Linked DNA regions of Caenorhabditis elegans. The protein of the gene in region 1 purifies or fractionates together with the protein of each later gene. This does not show direct contact. Each region holds a gene or a part of one and is shown on either strand. Other genes may lie near its edges.

What was found.
Region 2: the proteins of amx-2 (region 1) and grk-2 purify together in Caenorhabditis elegans (affinity purification with western blotting, with the first as the bait; one study listed by BioGRID). This does not show direct contact.

Annotation. Positions count from the first base shown.
Region 1 is NC_003279.8:12,759,056-12,766,806, forward strand, and holds amx-2 (monoamine oxidase), read right to left. Parts: upstream 5,906-7,751; 5' UTR 5,894-5,905; coding exon 5,768-5,893; intron 5,428-5,767; coding exon 5,247-5,427; intron 5,059-5,246; coding exon 4,935-5,058; intron 4,839-4,934; coding exon 4,685-4,838; intron 4,612-4,684; coding exon 4,404-4,611; intron 4,206-4,403; coding exon 4,068-4,205; intron 3,763-4,067; coding exon 3,604-3,762; intron 3,225-3,603; coding exon 3,083-3,224; intron 2,910-3,082; coding exon 2,755-2,909; intron 2,473-2,754; coding exon 2,128-2,472; intron 1,861-2,127; coding exon 1,790-1,860; intron 1,451-1,789; coding exon 1,321-1,450; intron 1,276-1,320; coding exon 1,183-1,275; intron 970-1,182; coding exon 905-969; intron 785-904; coding exon 701-784; 3' UTR 532-700; downstream 1-531. Other genes in the region: bath-35 (BTB domain-containing protein), read left to right, coding at 1-35, 85-236, 286-414.
Region 2 is NC_003281.10:674,459-681,151, forward strand, and holds grk-2 (G protein-coupled receptor kinase 2), read left to right. Parts: upstream 1-1,663; 5' UTR 1,664-1,670; coding exon 1,671-1,934; intron 1,935-1,984; coding exon 1,985-2,086; intron 2,087-2,134; coding exon 2,135-2,415; intron 2,416-2,749; coding exon 2,750-3,157; intron 3,158-3,597; coding exon 3,598-3,939; intron 3,940-4,212; coding exon 4,213-4,481; intron 4,482-4,530; coding exon 4,531-4,664; intron 4,665-4,712; coding exon 4,713-4,835; intron 4,836-5,388; coding exon 5,389-5,589; 3' UTR 5,590-6,191; downstream 6,192-6,693. Other genes in the region: W02B3.4 (uncharacterized protein), read right to left, coding at 6,438-6,575, 6,623-6,693. UniProt on the Caenorhabditis elegans protein: Specifically phosphorylates the activated forms of G protein-coupled receptors. Required in adult sensory neurons for chemotaxis.

The sequences.
Region 1 (7,751 bases):
CCTGGAACTTCTCTACGGTGAACCAGCGCTGACTGGTAGGTTTCTGAAAAATTTGAAGCCTTTACTACAAAAATATTATTTCAGAGGACAGTGTCGAGGGAATCCTACAAATTGCTGCCAGATTTGATGTTTCCACGGTTATTCGTAAAGGTGAAGACTTTCTGCTCCAAAAATCGGAATTTTCACCTGAGAAGAAGCTGCAAATGTCTTTGAAGTATAATTTGGAGAATCTCAAGGTTTTGCTCGATTCTGTGCTAAAATGTTTTGTATACTGAAAATTTTCAGAGTAAATGCCTTTCCGAGGTCAAATCAGTTGCTGATATTCGTTCCGTTTTGCCAAAGGACATAAAAGAAATGGATCATTCTGTAATGGCGGAGCTCTTGGAAAAGTCACTGGGTCTTCAAAAGACTTGAATTGTTTCATTGATTTTTCTGATCCAAATTTGTTAATTTTCACTATTGTTTTGTTGTTGAATTCTTCAATTTAAGCTTTTTTTCTAAATGAAAAATTGTCCAGAAAAACGAATTGAAAAAGCAAAACAATATTTATTGATTTTTACAATTTCCGAAACATTTTCAAATCTTTTTTGAAAATATCGAAGAACAAGAGAAGGGCGGTGCAAACCGAAAAGCTTTCAAAACGACACGTATTTTGGCGGGAAAATTTAAAAATTCAGGAAAAAAGTTAGATGTGCAGGTGTTACTGTAGACGCAAAGTCTGTAAGAGTGTTTGCACCAATTGCGTCAGACTTGACGCCAATTGGAGAGCCGTCGAGTTGGAAGCCTGAAAAAAATCGATAATTGATCATGTGGTTGAATTATCGATTTTATTCAAAAATCAGTAAAATTCTAGAAAATCGATACTTTAATTATCGATTTTTTTATATTTTTCTGAAAATCTTACATTTGCTGAAACTTGTTGCAACTCCTGCACAACTTGTGGAGATGGGGTTGCTCGTGAGTCGATTCCTGTAAATTATCGATTTTTGGGTGTATAAATTAGCTCTATTGATAATTTTTTTATAAGTTTCTCACGAACGTGTAATAATCTTTAAAATTTAAAATTTCTGCATTTTTCCAATTTATTTGTGATGTAAACTTGCAAAATGACAATTCTCATTAGAGCGCACTTTCCTCTAGCTTTAAACTTTTCAAAATTTTGGCAAATGTATAATAACTGACTATTTCGATTTGAAGATAATTGTACTGGATAATGAGTTGATGTCGTGTAGGCGTAACCATTCTGCTGTTGATTTACGAGAACTGCTGGCACATCTGGATAGTTTCAAATTTGGCGCCAAATTCAAAAAATTCAAAAACCTCGTTGAACAGCTGACGTGGCATTTTGATCTAAATTTCCGTTACTAAAATGTTTAAAAGTTGTCGTTTCGATCGTCTCGACTAGTGGCATTACACTTGAAGTGGAATACGCAAATGTCGTTGAATAGTTCTGAAATTGTGTGCGTTGGGGCGTGGTTGCATTGGCGGAAATTTGAAAGTCTTGTAACTTTTTAGTGGTAAGAGGTAGGGAAAAGTTGTCAACTAGTAAAATATAGGAAATTTAATGGGAATTATATTGTTAATTAAAAATTTCAGTAACATTGAGTTTCCGCCGAGATATAAAGGATTTAAAAAATTTAAAGTTACAAATTGGAAACGCGTATACCTTTTTCACTGTTTAATATGCCAAAAAGTTGTCAACTAACAAAATGTAGGAAATTTTATGTACAACATTTTGTTAGTAGACCATTTTTTCGTATCTGTTATATCTGCTGAGATAACGCCTTACCAATGTTGGTGGGGCATCCTGTTGTGGGCTGTCGTAGGCCACGGCAGCCGGTTCTTCATTTGTGGAGTTGTCTGGAAAATTTAATTAGGCTTAAACCTGGTTTCAGCTTGGTTCAGACTCAGACTACAAACTAAAGAGCCGTCCAGCCTCAACCACCTTTTGTAGTTTGTAGTCTACGCCACTATATTTGAATACATATGTGTAACTATGCAAAAAATGTGTCAATTTGATTTAAACAAAACGCATAGTTGTACAAATTATCCAAAAATGCTTTCCAATATATTGTGAGGCTCAGGGTACATTTTAGTTTGTAGTTTGTAGTTTATGAATCAACTAACCCAAATTTCCAAAACTGAAATGTTTCATAGTAGTAGTTGTTGGTGTTTCTACAGTAGTCGGGTACTGTGAACTAGTTTCATATTGGAAATTTGTTTGATTTCCAGTATTTCCAGAGTTCACAGAATTGTTTCCAGTGGTATTTCTATTTCCAGAGTCATTTTGCACATTTCGAGCCGCGAAAAGCGATGGTGGGTAGTGTGAGGAGGTACTGTAGACGTATGGAGTTGTCGACTCGACTGGTGTATCCCTAAGGACTCCGTTACTTTGAGCATCTGCTGCTGAGAGCATTTGGAGCACATATGTGCTCACAGAGCCAGCTGCGTGTACGGCTCCGTTCATGGTACCTGAAAATTTTAAATGTAATTTTAAATTGCAAAATTCGATGAAAAATCTAAAAAAGCTACTGCGAAATTGCCTTTGAACAAAGTTACAGTCTGTTAAAGTTTGGTTGAGGCTGAAAGTTCTGTAGTTTGTAGTGTGAGGCTCAACCAATTTTTTATGCACCATAACTTTCTTCAAAATGATCGATTTTTTACCGTTCAAAAACCAAAATATTGAGGGAAAATTGAAGAACCTAGATTTCAATATAATCTTCAGTTTTTTCAAAAATTAAAATTCTGACCCACCCAAATTGTGCGAGGCAATATCCGCAGTAGCAATATGTACATTTTGGTACAAAGTATGGAAATCGTTGAGATATTTCAGGGATTCTAATGGAATATTAAGCTTCAATGTTGGAATTGTTCCTTTCGCCAAGTCGTCCGTGGCAAAGTTGACGTCACTGCAAAAATTGATTTTTAAAAGATTTTTGGTGGGTTCTGCGATACTGTGAACTACAAACTACAAACTACAAACTACTAGCTACTAACCTACATATTGTAGTCGTTTCCCGATTTCGAATTTGATAGTTTCAAAAGTTTTTAACAGTTTTTCAAATTTTCCCAAACATCTTACCTAACATCCAATGGCGAAAAATCAGCAAATCTCAGCGAGTACATAATCGCCTGAGTGTACAATTTGCGGCGGGTCTCGAACGGAACATCGTAGGAGAAATGGGCGATACCCCAAAGTGTTGATGACGCTGATGTGGAGTTGTCTGAAAATTTTTTGAATTTTCGGAGTTTTTCTGATAATGCTTAGTTTTTGAAAAGTTAAAATCGGTTCATTTGGAGCGAAGTTACGGTGCATCGAAGATTGGTTGAGGCTCAGACTGCAAACTACAAACTATAATATAATCCTAGCTGAGCTTCAACCATCATTCTGTAGTTTGTAGTTTTAAAAATGGTTGAGGCGCTATTAGGATTGTAGTTTATAGTTTGTAGTATAAACCTTTGAGATTCACCAACTTTCGGTGCACCATAACTTTGTTCAAACTGGACCAATTTTCATGGTTCAAAAACCAAAATTCACTACAGAAACTTCTTAAGATTAATAGTTTAAACATTTTAAATTTACAAAAGTCTGGAAAAACCCACCACAACTCGCCGCAAAAGTGGTATCAAATGTGGTCAGCCATACCAATGGACCAGTCGCCGACGTGTAGATCACTTTTCCGCTCCGCCCATTTAGCCGCCACGTGGCACGTTGGAATGACATTGTGAAGTAGTAGGCGTGGCCTGTTGGACCGTAGTTTTCTGGAAATTTTTGTAGTTTGTAGTCTTAGAATTCGTAGACCGAAGTTTTTTTAATGTTTGGATGAAAGTTTAAATGTTTCAGTGCAATTTGATTAGAATTTGATGTCATTGTGGAAAAATGTTTTTAAGTTCGTTAAGGCTAAATATTTGTAGTTTGTAGTCTAGTTTGTAGTTTGTAGTGACCAAAACTCTAAGGTAAACAAACGTTGTTTTTGAGTGGTTTTTATGCGGTTTCATTTTCGGAAATTAAAACAAAAAAAGTTCAAACATTTTTTTTCTCTACTTCAATTTTTCCAAAAACTCACGAATAAGCTGCTGAAAGGGAGCTTCTGGTGCTGGTACCAGCTCAATATTTTCCAGTGTCGGAATTGGCACAGCTACAATCACTTGACGGCCACTGAACCTTCGGCCGGCAGATGTTTGGACCACAGCTGGGAAGGCGGCTGGAAATTAGGATAATTTGAGTAAAAAATAGGAAAAATAATGAAATGATGTTTTTAGAAAATAATGAAATTTTAGAAAAAATTTGAATTTTCAAATTTTAGAGATTTTTTTTCAAATTTTTTTTTTTGGAAATCAGAAAAAATAATTCAATGCTTGTTTTCTGGTTTTTGTAGTTTGTAGTTTGTAGTCTACAGTACCATCATTAACCGAAACGACACGTTGACTATATTCAATCAATAATCCATCAGCAAGCCTTCTCACGACTTCATTCATTCCACCTTGTGCCAAAAGACTCTGCCCATGACCAAATCTCCGGAGAATTTCAACGGCTGTCGCATTTTGACTGGAACACGTCAGGGCCAGCTGAATTTCTGGAACTTGTTCTCCGGGAGCATCGAAAAATGTCTGAAAATGAGGGGAAATATGGGTTTGGCGGAATTTTAAGATTGGTCAATATTAAAGAACGTGGTACACTAACCTGCATCATTCGGTTCACCGAATCTGCGTCAGCAGTGTCCATTTGCTGAGACATTGCTGAAACTGAAGTATTTGTAAGATTTCCGAGAGTTTCTGGCGAATTGATAAGATCTGTGAAGAGGGTTGTACTCCATTGCTGTTGGAGGGATAGTTGTCTGGAATTTTCAGAGAGTATTGTTAAATTAAAAAAAAAAAGCTCCTATGGATCTCAAAACCGGATAAAATTTCAGTCACTTGTGTCAAAACTGTACCTCTTCTTCCTTGTTTGCTGGAATACTGTATTATTACCACATGTCAACTGTTGTGTTGTACGAACATTCAATTCTTGAATTAGACTTAATAATTGGGTGTCCGTTGGAGAAATGAACTGAGATCCTGAAAATGAAGCAATTTTGCATTATCTGGGGTACTGTAGATATCAAAAATGCACCGGATCTGACGACAAAATGCACTATTCTTCAAATTTTTGTAAAAAGAGTCGGCATGTAGGAAGAAAACATTGGTGATTTCGAATTTCGTAATGAAAATCTTTAAAAATCGATAATTTTCAAGATTCAACGTACCTGTATCTACGAATTCAACACCATTTCTTGTCTGCATTGTAGCATATCGAATTCTGCCACCAACTTGACCACGTGCTTCCAGTACTAATACGGATAGTCCTGGTCGATTTTGCTGGATGTTCCGGGCTGCTGTGAGCCCGGTAAGTCCTGCTCCGACAACGATGACATCATATATTGTTTGCTAGAATATAGAAACATTAGTTGAGGATTAGACTACAAACTACAATATTAATCTAGGGAGTTCTAAAAATTTTAATGTTAGAAAGTGAATATTTTGAGTGTAAAAATTCAAACATTTTTTCGAAAAATCGAAAAAATTTTTAATCTAAAAATTGGCCAAACATTTGGTTTTCAAGACTTTAGGCTAATTTTGAAATTCAAATCCTTAAGAAAAATGAAAAATTTAACTTATTTAAGGTGTTGCCAGGAATTTTCTTTTCAAAATTTTTGGAAAAAGTTGGAAAATTAAATTAAAAAACCCCAAAAAAATTGTTTTTTCATTTTTTTGTTTCTCCCCTTACCTGAATATTAGAACTGCTAATATTTGCAGACGTTGGTTGCTGTTGTTGCTGTGACTGTTGTGAGAGTGTATTCTGTGCATAGACGCAGACAGCCGCCCAAATGAATATCCACCACCCACGCAACATTTAGGTTTATTGCTGGAAAAATAAACATTTTTCGGTTTTTATATAGAAACAGTGGTCTAAATGACAAATGAAACGTGTCAACTGGGTTAACTATATAGTTTAGGTAAACGGATGAAGAAGGTAGGTTAAAAGTAAATAAACAGGTGGAAACTGGATATTTTATCCGGAAAAAACAAGTTTTCTTTTAAAATATAGGTTTAATAGTTAATTCCAATTTACAAAATAAACTAATATTACGTTTTCTTTTTTAGTCGGATACAGGAATGGGCGGCAATTGCCGTTCGGCAAATTTTTTCGTCGACAAATCGGCAAATTTCCGGTTTGCCGATTTGCCAGAAATTTTTATTTCCAGCGAACTGCCAATTTTCAGTTTGCCGGATATCGAATTTGCCGGAAATGTTCAGAGGAATTTTTTAAAGAAACACTTAAGTTTTAATTAAAAATGTGCCTTTTTAAAAATTATCTCGTTTTCTTGAGATATTTTCAAAGAACATGCTTACTTTTCAAAAATAGGATGCGCGAAATTTTGCAAATTAAAATTGAAATTCTGAAATTTCCAAAAAAAAAAATTGGAAAACCACAAATTGCCAAAAATTGTCGGCAAGTTCGGCAAATCGGCAATTTGCCGGTTTACTGATTTGATAAAAATTTTCAATTCCGGTAACTTGCTGTTTTTCCGGAAAAATCGTTTACCGCCCACACCTGGTCTGATAGGGCCCACATTTAAACAATTAGATTTCATCTTTTGAGCTCTGAAACCTCAACTCATCTAGTTGCTCTGGGAGCAGTTATATTGTTTTAAAAACAATTTGATTGAAATCTCCTTCAAATTCTAGTTAATTCTCTTTTTGGAACCATCCAATTTGGTTAAATTTGAAGCTAGTTACGAATATTTGAAATTAAAGAAAAAAAATTTTGAGTTTCCCGCCAAAAATTGTTCTCAGAAAATTTGAATTTCCCACCAAATTTTTGATGTCGTTTTCTGATAACTACAAACTACAATATTCTCAGCCTCAACAAATATTCAGACTCAAAAATTCCATTAAGACATACATAGTTGCAACACGAATAACATTCTTGAATCTGGAAAAAAAATCTAAAAAACCAGTTTCCAGTGACAATTAATACATGAGAATTTCCAATTCCAGTTAAAAAATCACTCAAAAGGGTAATATTTGAGGAATTTCTTCGGGAAATGACCGTCTATTTGATTGATGGGAGGAGGAAAAGGAGGGAAGGTGGTTCTGGAGAGAAATACATTAAAATGGTAATTGAACCGTATTTGCTTAATGGGCAATTTCTGAAGTTCAAGTACAGTACGTACCATATTGCGATAAAAATGACCAAAAAACTGACTTTTCTCGGCTAATTTGAGTGGTTTTGGCCAAAGATATTAATAATTTAAAATTGGTGAGGCTCAGACTACAGCTACAAAATTTTGTAAAAATAACTATTTTATCAATTTATCTTTCTTTTCGGACCTATTTTGCCTGTTGAAGCATTGGTTTTGCTCCACTATGAGCAAAGTTACAGCGATTTGAAATTTGGTTGAGGCTAAAAATTCTGTAGTTTGTAGTGTGAGCCTCTACCAAACTTTGAGGGCCTGTAACTTTGTTAGAAGTCGGCCTAGAAACTCGGTTCAAGAAACAAATTTATGTAAAATCGGTAGAGGAACATAGTGAAGTAGAAATTTAGTGGCTTAGTTAGAAATATTTTGTAGTTTGTAGTGTAAGCCTCAACCACTTTTTGAACCCTTATAACTGTTAGAAGTTGACCTAGAAACTTAGTCCAAGAGACAAATTTGTTTAAAATCGTCAGAGGAATCTACTTAAATTCAAGTCAAGTGGATTAAGAATAT
Region 2 (6,693 bases), on another chromosome or scaffold:
TTATTTCTATTACTTCATCGAAGACTAATTCATTACAAAATATCCGGATATCTCTTTTTTTTTTGAATAGGGAGCCCTCCCTCTGTGTTTATCTAATCTGCCACTTGTTTTTCCACTCTTCCGTCTCCTCTTCTTCTCCTAGTGTCCCTTTGAGACTTTTGGCGGTTACTGATACTACAACTAATACCCCCTACCAACAACTAGCCAGTATTTGATAACAAAAACAGCTATATATAATTTTTGAGATTTCTAGATTTTTTCTATCTATACAAAAATAATTTTAATTCCCAGTTGGGGTATATTTTGATGGCTTGACGTTACGGTGCCAGCCTACGGTTGGAAATAGGGGTGTGCGGCAAATCTCAAAATTGCCAAGTTCGGCAAATTTGGCATATTTGCCGAGCTCATCAAACCCCGAAAAGCATAAAATTAAAAAGAACTCAATTTTATGTTACTTTACTATAATTTTTGAACAAAATCATTAGCTTCGGTCAATTTTAAAAAAATCCAATTTGTGGTGTGTGCAGCAAATTTGGCCCCGCCACTTTTTGGAAGTTTGCCATGCTTGGCAAATTTGGAAAACCCAACAAATTCGCTGCATACACCTGGTTAAAAAGCGCCTATTCCCGTTCATTACTCGCCCGTTTGGCGCCCTATCCCGATGATTTGTTCTCATGGAAATTGATTACTAAATACTGATTGAATTTTTTCCTTTTTTATAGGACGCACACCCGTAGGGATTCTTCAAAAAAATTTAGAGTTTTCACCTCAAAAAAATTACTATTCAAATTTTATCTCGAATACCTGAAACTGCATAAAAAATTTTTGTAACGTGACAACACTAATTGCTCTTTAAAATATCTCAATTTTACGAGAGCTTCGTTAGACTTACTACTGGCTCAGACATTTCCTGATTGCAGCTGACTTCCAGATCAGAAGTGCACTAGGAATGTCTTTTAACTCTTTAATCCTATCCTAATCCGCTTAAGCTTCCACCTAAATCATCCCGAACATAAAATTCGTTCTTTCCATTCCCCCTCCTTTCCCAAGTCAGTACCTAAACCCTTCCCCCGAAAAAAATTCGACTACCCGTCTCACCCCATAACTCGATTTGGACGGGTGGGGTAGGCTCGGGGGCTCCGAGCTTTTACATATTTTTCTTTTTTTTTTCTGCTTCTATCTTTTTCTCTGCGTCTCGTCTCTCTTGTTCTTCGTGAGAAGCAAGAGAGAAAGAAAAACTGCATTTTTATGATTGTTGTTCAATTTTTTTTCTCTCTTTTCCCTTCCCTTCTCTTCATTTTTCTTTCAGATTTAGTAATTTTTTCGCTTTTATTTTTCAAAACAATATTAGAATACTTTGCCGCTCTACTTTTTGAGTCATTGCTAGAAAAAGGGGACCTTGATGGCTTTGACATCTAATATCTTGGCTGCTTTCAGTTTTAGGAAAACATTTTTAACTACAAAACTGTTGAACACAATTGTTTCTATATTTTTGTAGTTTAAAAAATTGTTCTGTCGCTGAAAATAACCGAGCTACAAGCCGATAAAGGTTATTTTCAATTAGCGCAACTATGTATGTTTGGCTTTCAGAATTTTACTCGTTTCCTGACAAATTATTACTCGTTCTTTAAAAACCAAATCTCTAATCAATTCGATTTTGCAGAACAAAAATGGCAGACTTGGAAGCAGTGCTGGCTGACGTCAGCTACCTGATGGCAATGGAGAAGAGCCGAAGTCAGCCGGCGGCTCGTGCCAGCAAACGCATAGTTCTGCCAGACCCGAGTGTGCGGAGTATAATGCAAAAATTTCTGGAAAAGTCGGGTGATATGAAGTTTGATAAGATCTTCAATCAAAAGCTCGGTTTCTTGTTGTTAAAAGATTACGCGGAAAATGTCTCCGAGAGTCCGTGTCCTCAAATTAAATTCTACGAGGCGGTGAGTATCAGAGTTACCAAAATATATCTCTGATCTCAACAAAGTTTCAGATCAAAGAATACGAGAAAATGGAGACACCAGATGAGCGATTAACAAAAGCACGAGAAATTTATGATCATCATATAATGGTTGAAATGCTCGCACATGCTCACGTAAGACTCAGTCACTTTAATTCTTCAACAAATCGCAAACTATTTCAGAACTACTCAAAAGAATCATTACAACATGTACAATATCATCTTCTTAAACAAAATGTGCCTCCAGATCTTTTTCACCGATATGTTTTGGAGATTTGCGATCAGCTTCGTGGAGATATTTTTCAACGATTTCTCGAGTCGGACAAGTTCACCAGATTCTGTCAGTGGAAAAACTTGGAGTTGAATATGCAGCTGACAATGAACGACTTCTCAGTACATCGAATTATCGGTCGAGGTGGCTTTGGAGAAGTCTACGGGTGTCGTAAAGCTGACACGGGAAAGATGTGAGTGGTGAATATGCAAGCCTGCTCCTAAAAAGAAAATGTTATGCCAGAAGTTCAAAACCAGGTCTAGAAAAACTAGGTTACCCTGGAGTACCAAAGATACACGTGATGCCAGGTTGTCCCATCACGGTTTGATCTCCAAAAAATGCGGGAATTTTCGCCAAAAATATGTGACGGTAGCACGGTCTTAAGCATAAAAAATAAGTTGAGAACTCTGCGTCTCTTATCCCGCATTTTTTGTAGATCTACGTAGATCAAGCCGAAATAAGACACTCTGACATTACGGGAAGAAATTATCAATATTACTGGACTTGATTAGAATTTCATATTCCAGGTACGCGATGAAATGTCTTGACAAAAAGCGAATCAAGATGAAACAAGGAGAAACGCTGGCACTAAACGAGAGAATCATGTTGAGCCTCGTCTCCACTGGACAAGATTGCCCATTCATCGTGTGTATGACATACGCATTTCAATCACCCGACAAACTGTGTTTCATCCTTGATTTGATGAACGGTGGTGACCTTCATTATCATTTATCACAACACGGAGTATTTACGGAGCAAGAGATGATATTTTATGCGTCAGAAGTTATACTTGGACTGGAACATATGCATAATCGATTTGTAGTTTATCGAGATTTAAAGCCTGCCAATATTTTGTTGGATGAGAATGGTCATGTGAGGGTTTCCGATTTGGGTCTCGCGTGTGATTATTCAAAAAAGAAGCCGCATGCTAGTGTGTAAGTTGTTTTCTTTCAAACCTGAACACATAGAAAATCTCAGACTTATAAGCGCTATTGGGAAGATTATACCTTGTATCAAACACATATTTTGACTCTTGAGGTTTTGCTAAGGAAAAAAAGGCAAAGGCGTTGCTAGAAATTTTAAAACTATTTTTGAGCCCTATAATTATGCCCTATTATTATAATTATAAGTCAGGGCTCCCAGCTGAGTGAGGAGCAAAATGCGGGTCCCACACCGGCGCCGTTACCCGCTGTATGTGTAATGAAGTGGGAAAAGGTAGTTACCTGAAAGCGACTGACACGTTCGGGCCCTCATTGGAGCCCTACTATCAGTATTTCAAAAAGTTTGCCTGTTTTCAAGACAGAAAATGAGGATCTAATCAAACTTTTAAACTTTTAAATAAATTCGACCAGTCACCTAATTGTTTCAATTTCAGCGGAACCCACGGCTACATGGCACCCGAAGTACTGGCCAAAGGCGTTGCCTACGACTCGTCAGCCGACTGGTTCTCGTTAGGATGTATGCTGTATAAACTTCTAAAGGGACACTCACCATTTCGTCAACATAAGAGCAAAGATAAGAACGAGATTGACAAAATGACATTAACACAAGATATTGAACTGCCGAATGAAGGATTGTCAAAAGACTGTCGAGATCTTCTGGAGGGACTTTTGAAACGAGACGTTCCGGATAGATTGGGGTGTCGCGGGAAAGGGCCGACGGAGGTTAAGGAGCATCCATTTTTCAAAGATGTCGATTGGCAAACTGTGTATTTGAGGTGAGTTTATATATTTAATAGAACCAAATTACTCAAAGTACAAAAATTAATATTTTTTGTCGTTAGCCACATAGATGTAAATTGAAAAGAGCATTCGAAGCCATACAGATCCGTTATAAATTTTATCGTCCTGTGCTGGTATTTCTTACAAACCACATTGTGGAAATTGTAATACAGTCCAAAACGGAAATTTAAGGTGAATAATTTTTAAGCCATTAATGTTGCAACAATTTTGTAAAATTTCAAGAAACTCACCAATCAGCAATTTTCCAGACGAATGACACCACCACTAATCCCACCACGTGGAGAAGTCAACGCTGCGGATGCATTTGACATTGGAAACTTTGACGATGATGAAGTGAAAGGTGTCAAGTTGCAAGACGGGGATTCAGATTTGTACAAAAACTTCAATATTGTGATATCTGAACGGTGGCAGAATGAAATCGCGGAGACAATATTTGAGGTAGTGAATCAGGATGCGGATAAGGCGGAGAGTAAGAAGCGGTCAAAACAGAAGATCAAGGTGGCAGTTGAGGAGAAAGGTAAGTAGAAAAAGATCCCCAGGCAAATCTGCATAATATTTGATTCCAGATTCCGATGTTATAGTCCACGGGTATATCAAGAAGCTCGGCGGCCCGTTCACCTCGGCTTGGCAAACCAAATACGGCAAGCTCTATCCATCTCGACTGGAACTTTATCCGGAATCATTAACTGCTAAGCCAGAGGTACGTTTGATTTGAAAACTGAGTAAATATAAAAATGACACATTTCAGTTAGTATTTATGGATCAAATCGAAGATGTGTGCGCCGAAATGCAGACCATCAAGGGAGAGACGGCAATCATTGTGAAGTTACGAGATGGGTTCAAAGAGCCTAAGATTTGCTTAACAAACTCGGTTAGTGAAAATGTTTTAAAGTATAAGACTGAAAAAAAAAACTGTCGGTCTGTCTATCTTGTAGTTTTTGAATTCTGTGGCATTTATTGAAGCGTGCCTTGCACTCTCCGCTGGTATTAATTTCTGCGGAATAAAAATTGCTATTATAAAATTAAACTTGGCTAAAAACTCTAAATTCAAGTATTCAAAAAACCGTTGCGGAAAAATTCTAAATTTATTTTTTTTATTTCTTGTAGAAATTTTTTCCTACAAAAAATTGCGGCAGAAAATTTAAAATTTAAAATTGAGTTTTTCAAAAATTTCTGCAGAAAATTCAAATCTTTATTCTTTCAAAAATACTGACGAGAACACATTTTAAACTTACAATTTTTTAGGAACAAAATTGACGCAAAATTCAAGTTCTGATTTTGATCAAATCAAAATTCTTGCAGAGAAATTTTCTTGTTTAAACTAATTCAAAATTTTAAACTTTGGGGTGCAATTCAAATTTGAACTTTTATAGGAGTGTCATCGTTATCAGATTTTTTCAAAATCTTGAATTTCAAAATTCCAGGACGAAATCTCTTTGAAAGAATGGCACACATCCCTCCGCACGGCTCACAAAGTCTCCCAGGAACTTTTGCAACGAATGGGCCGAAAAGCAATCAAAATCTATGGAGTCAATCATGACCCAATGTTATCTGAAAGTGAACGACCTGGTTCTGTGACAAGAGCCTTTCTGAATAGGGCTAGCAGTGTTGATTCTGGTGTTTAACTTGAAGAAAAAAAATTTTCCAAAATTTTATTTTTGGAAAAAAATCCCCCAAGCATTCCTCTATCTACGGTACCTTTTGTCTTGTGATCTCCTCGATTTTCACACATTTTCCTATAGTTTTTTTTGGGATAATTATTTTAGAACACTTATGTGCTCTTTTTCCGTGCACACATGATAAAAACCGCCGAAAAATGTATATTTTGAATTTTTTCATCAAATGCAGCTTACTACAGAGAGCTTACTATTAGCAGTACTTATGCCAATCTTGGGTCCCGCCACGAAAACAGATTAATGTACTTTTTGCGTGAAATCCATGAGTTCTACTTTGTTTTAGAATAATTATCCTAAAAAACTATAGCTTATCTTTAAAATTAAATTTATACATTCCTTCCACTCCCCCATCCATCCCTGTAAAAAAACCTGTATCAGATGCACAATTTATCGATTTTCACTGTGTTTCTTTTTTCTGTTCTAAAGATTTTTTATTTCATTATTTTTAATGTAAAAACTTTCCTTTTAGAATCTTACACTTTTTACCAATTTTACATCCATTTTCAAAACATCTCAAAAACCCATTTTCAGATAAATAAATTAAAAATTTATTTTATGAAATGAAATGAAATGAAAGAAAAAAAACTAATACCCGTTGAAATGTTGACCGGATGTTAACAGGATATTCATTAGGCAGGAAGTCGGACCCGTGATCTTTCCAGTCAAGGTCATACCTCTTACCGGCTGAGCCACAGGGCGCAGTTAAGTGGAAGCATGGTACCCCCGTAGCCGGTAAGAAGCTCTCCCTGGACAAAATAGGTCGCAGGTTCGACCCCGACACAAAGAGTTTTCCTTTGCTACCGTTTAAACACTTTGTAGACCATTTTCATCTGCTCCTTCGTCCATTTTCCGTTCTTCTTCACATTTTTTCCTGAAGAATTCCATGAGTACTTTGATGTCAGGTGATCGAGGTACCATAGTTGGCCATACTCTTTCTAAACATTTTAAAGGGAATTTTAGTAAATATTTTTGAAATTCATACCACAATTTTCTCGTTCGGAGTACAAGTGACCCAAAATATATGACCGTGGAGGTCTGCTGCACAGAATGGAT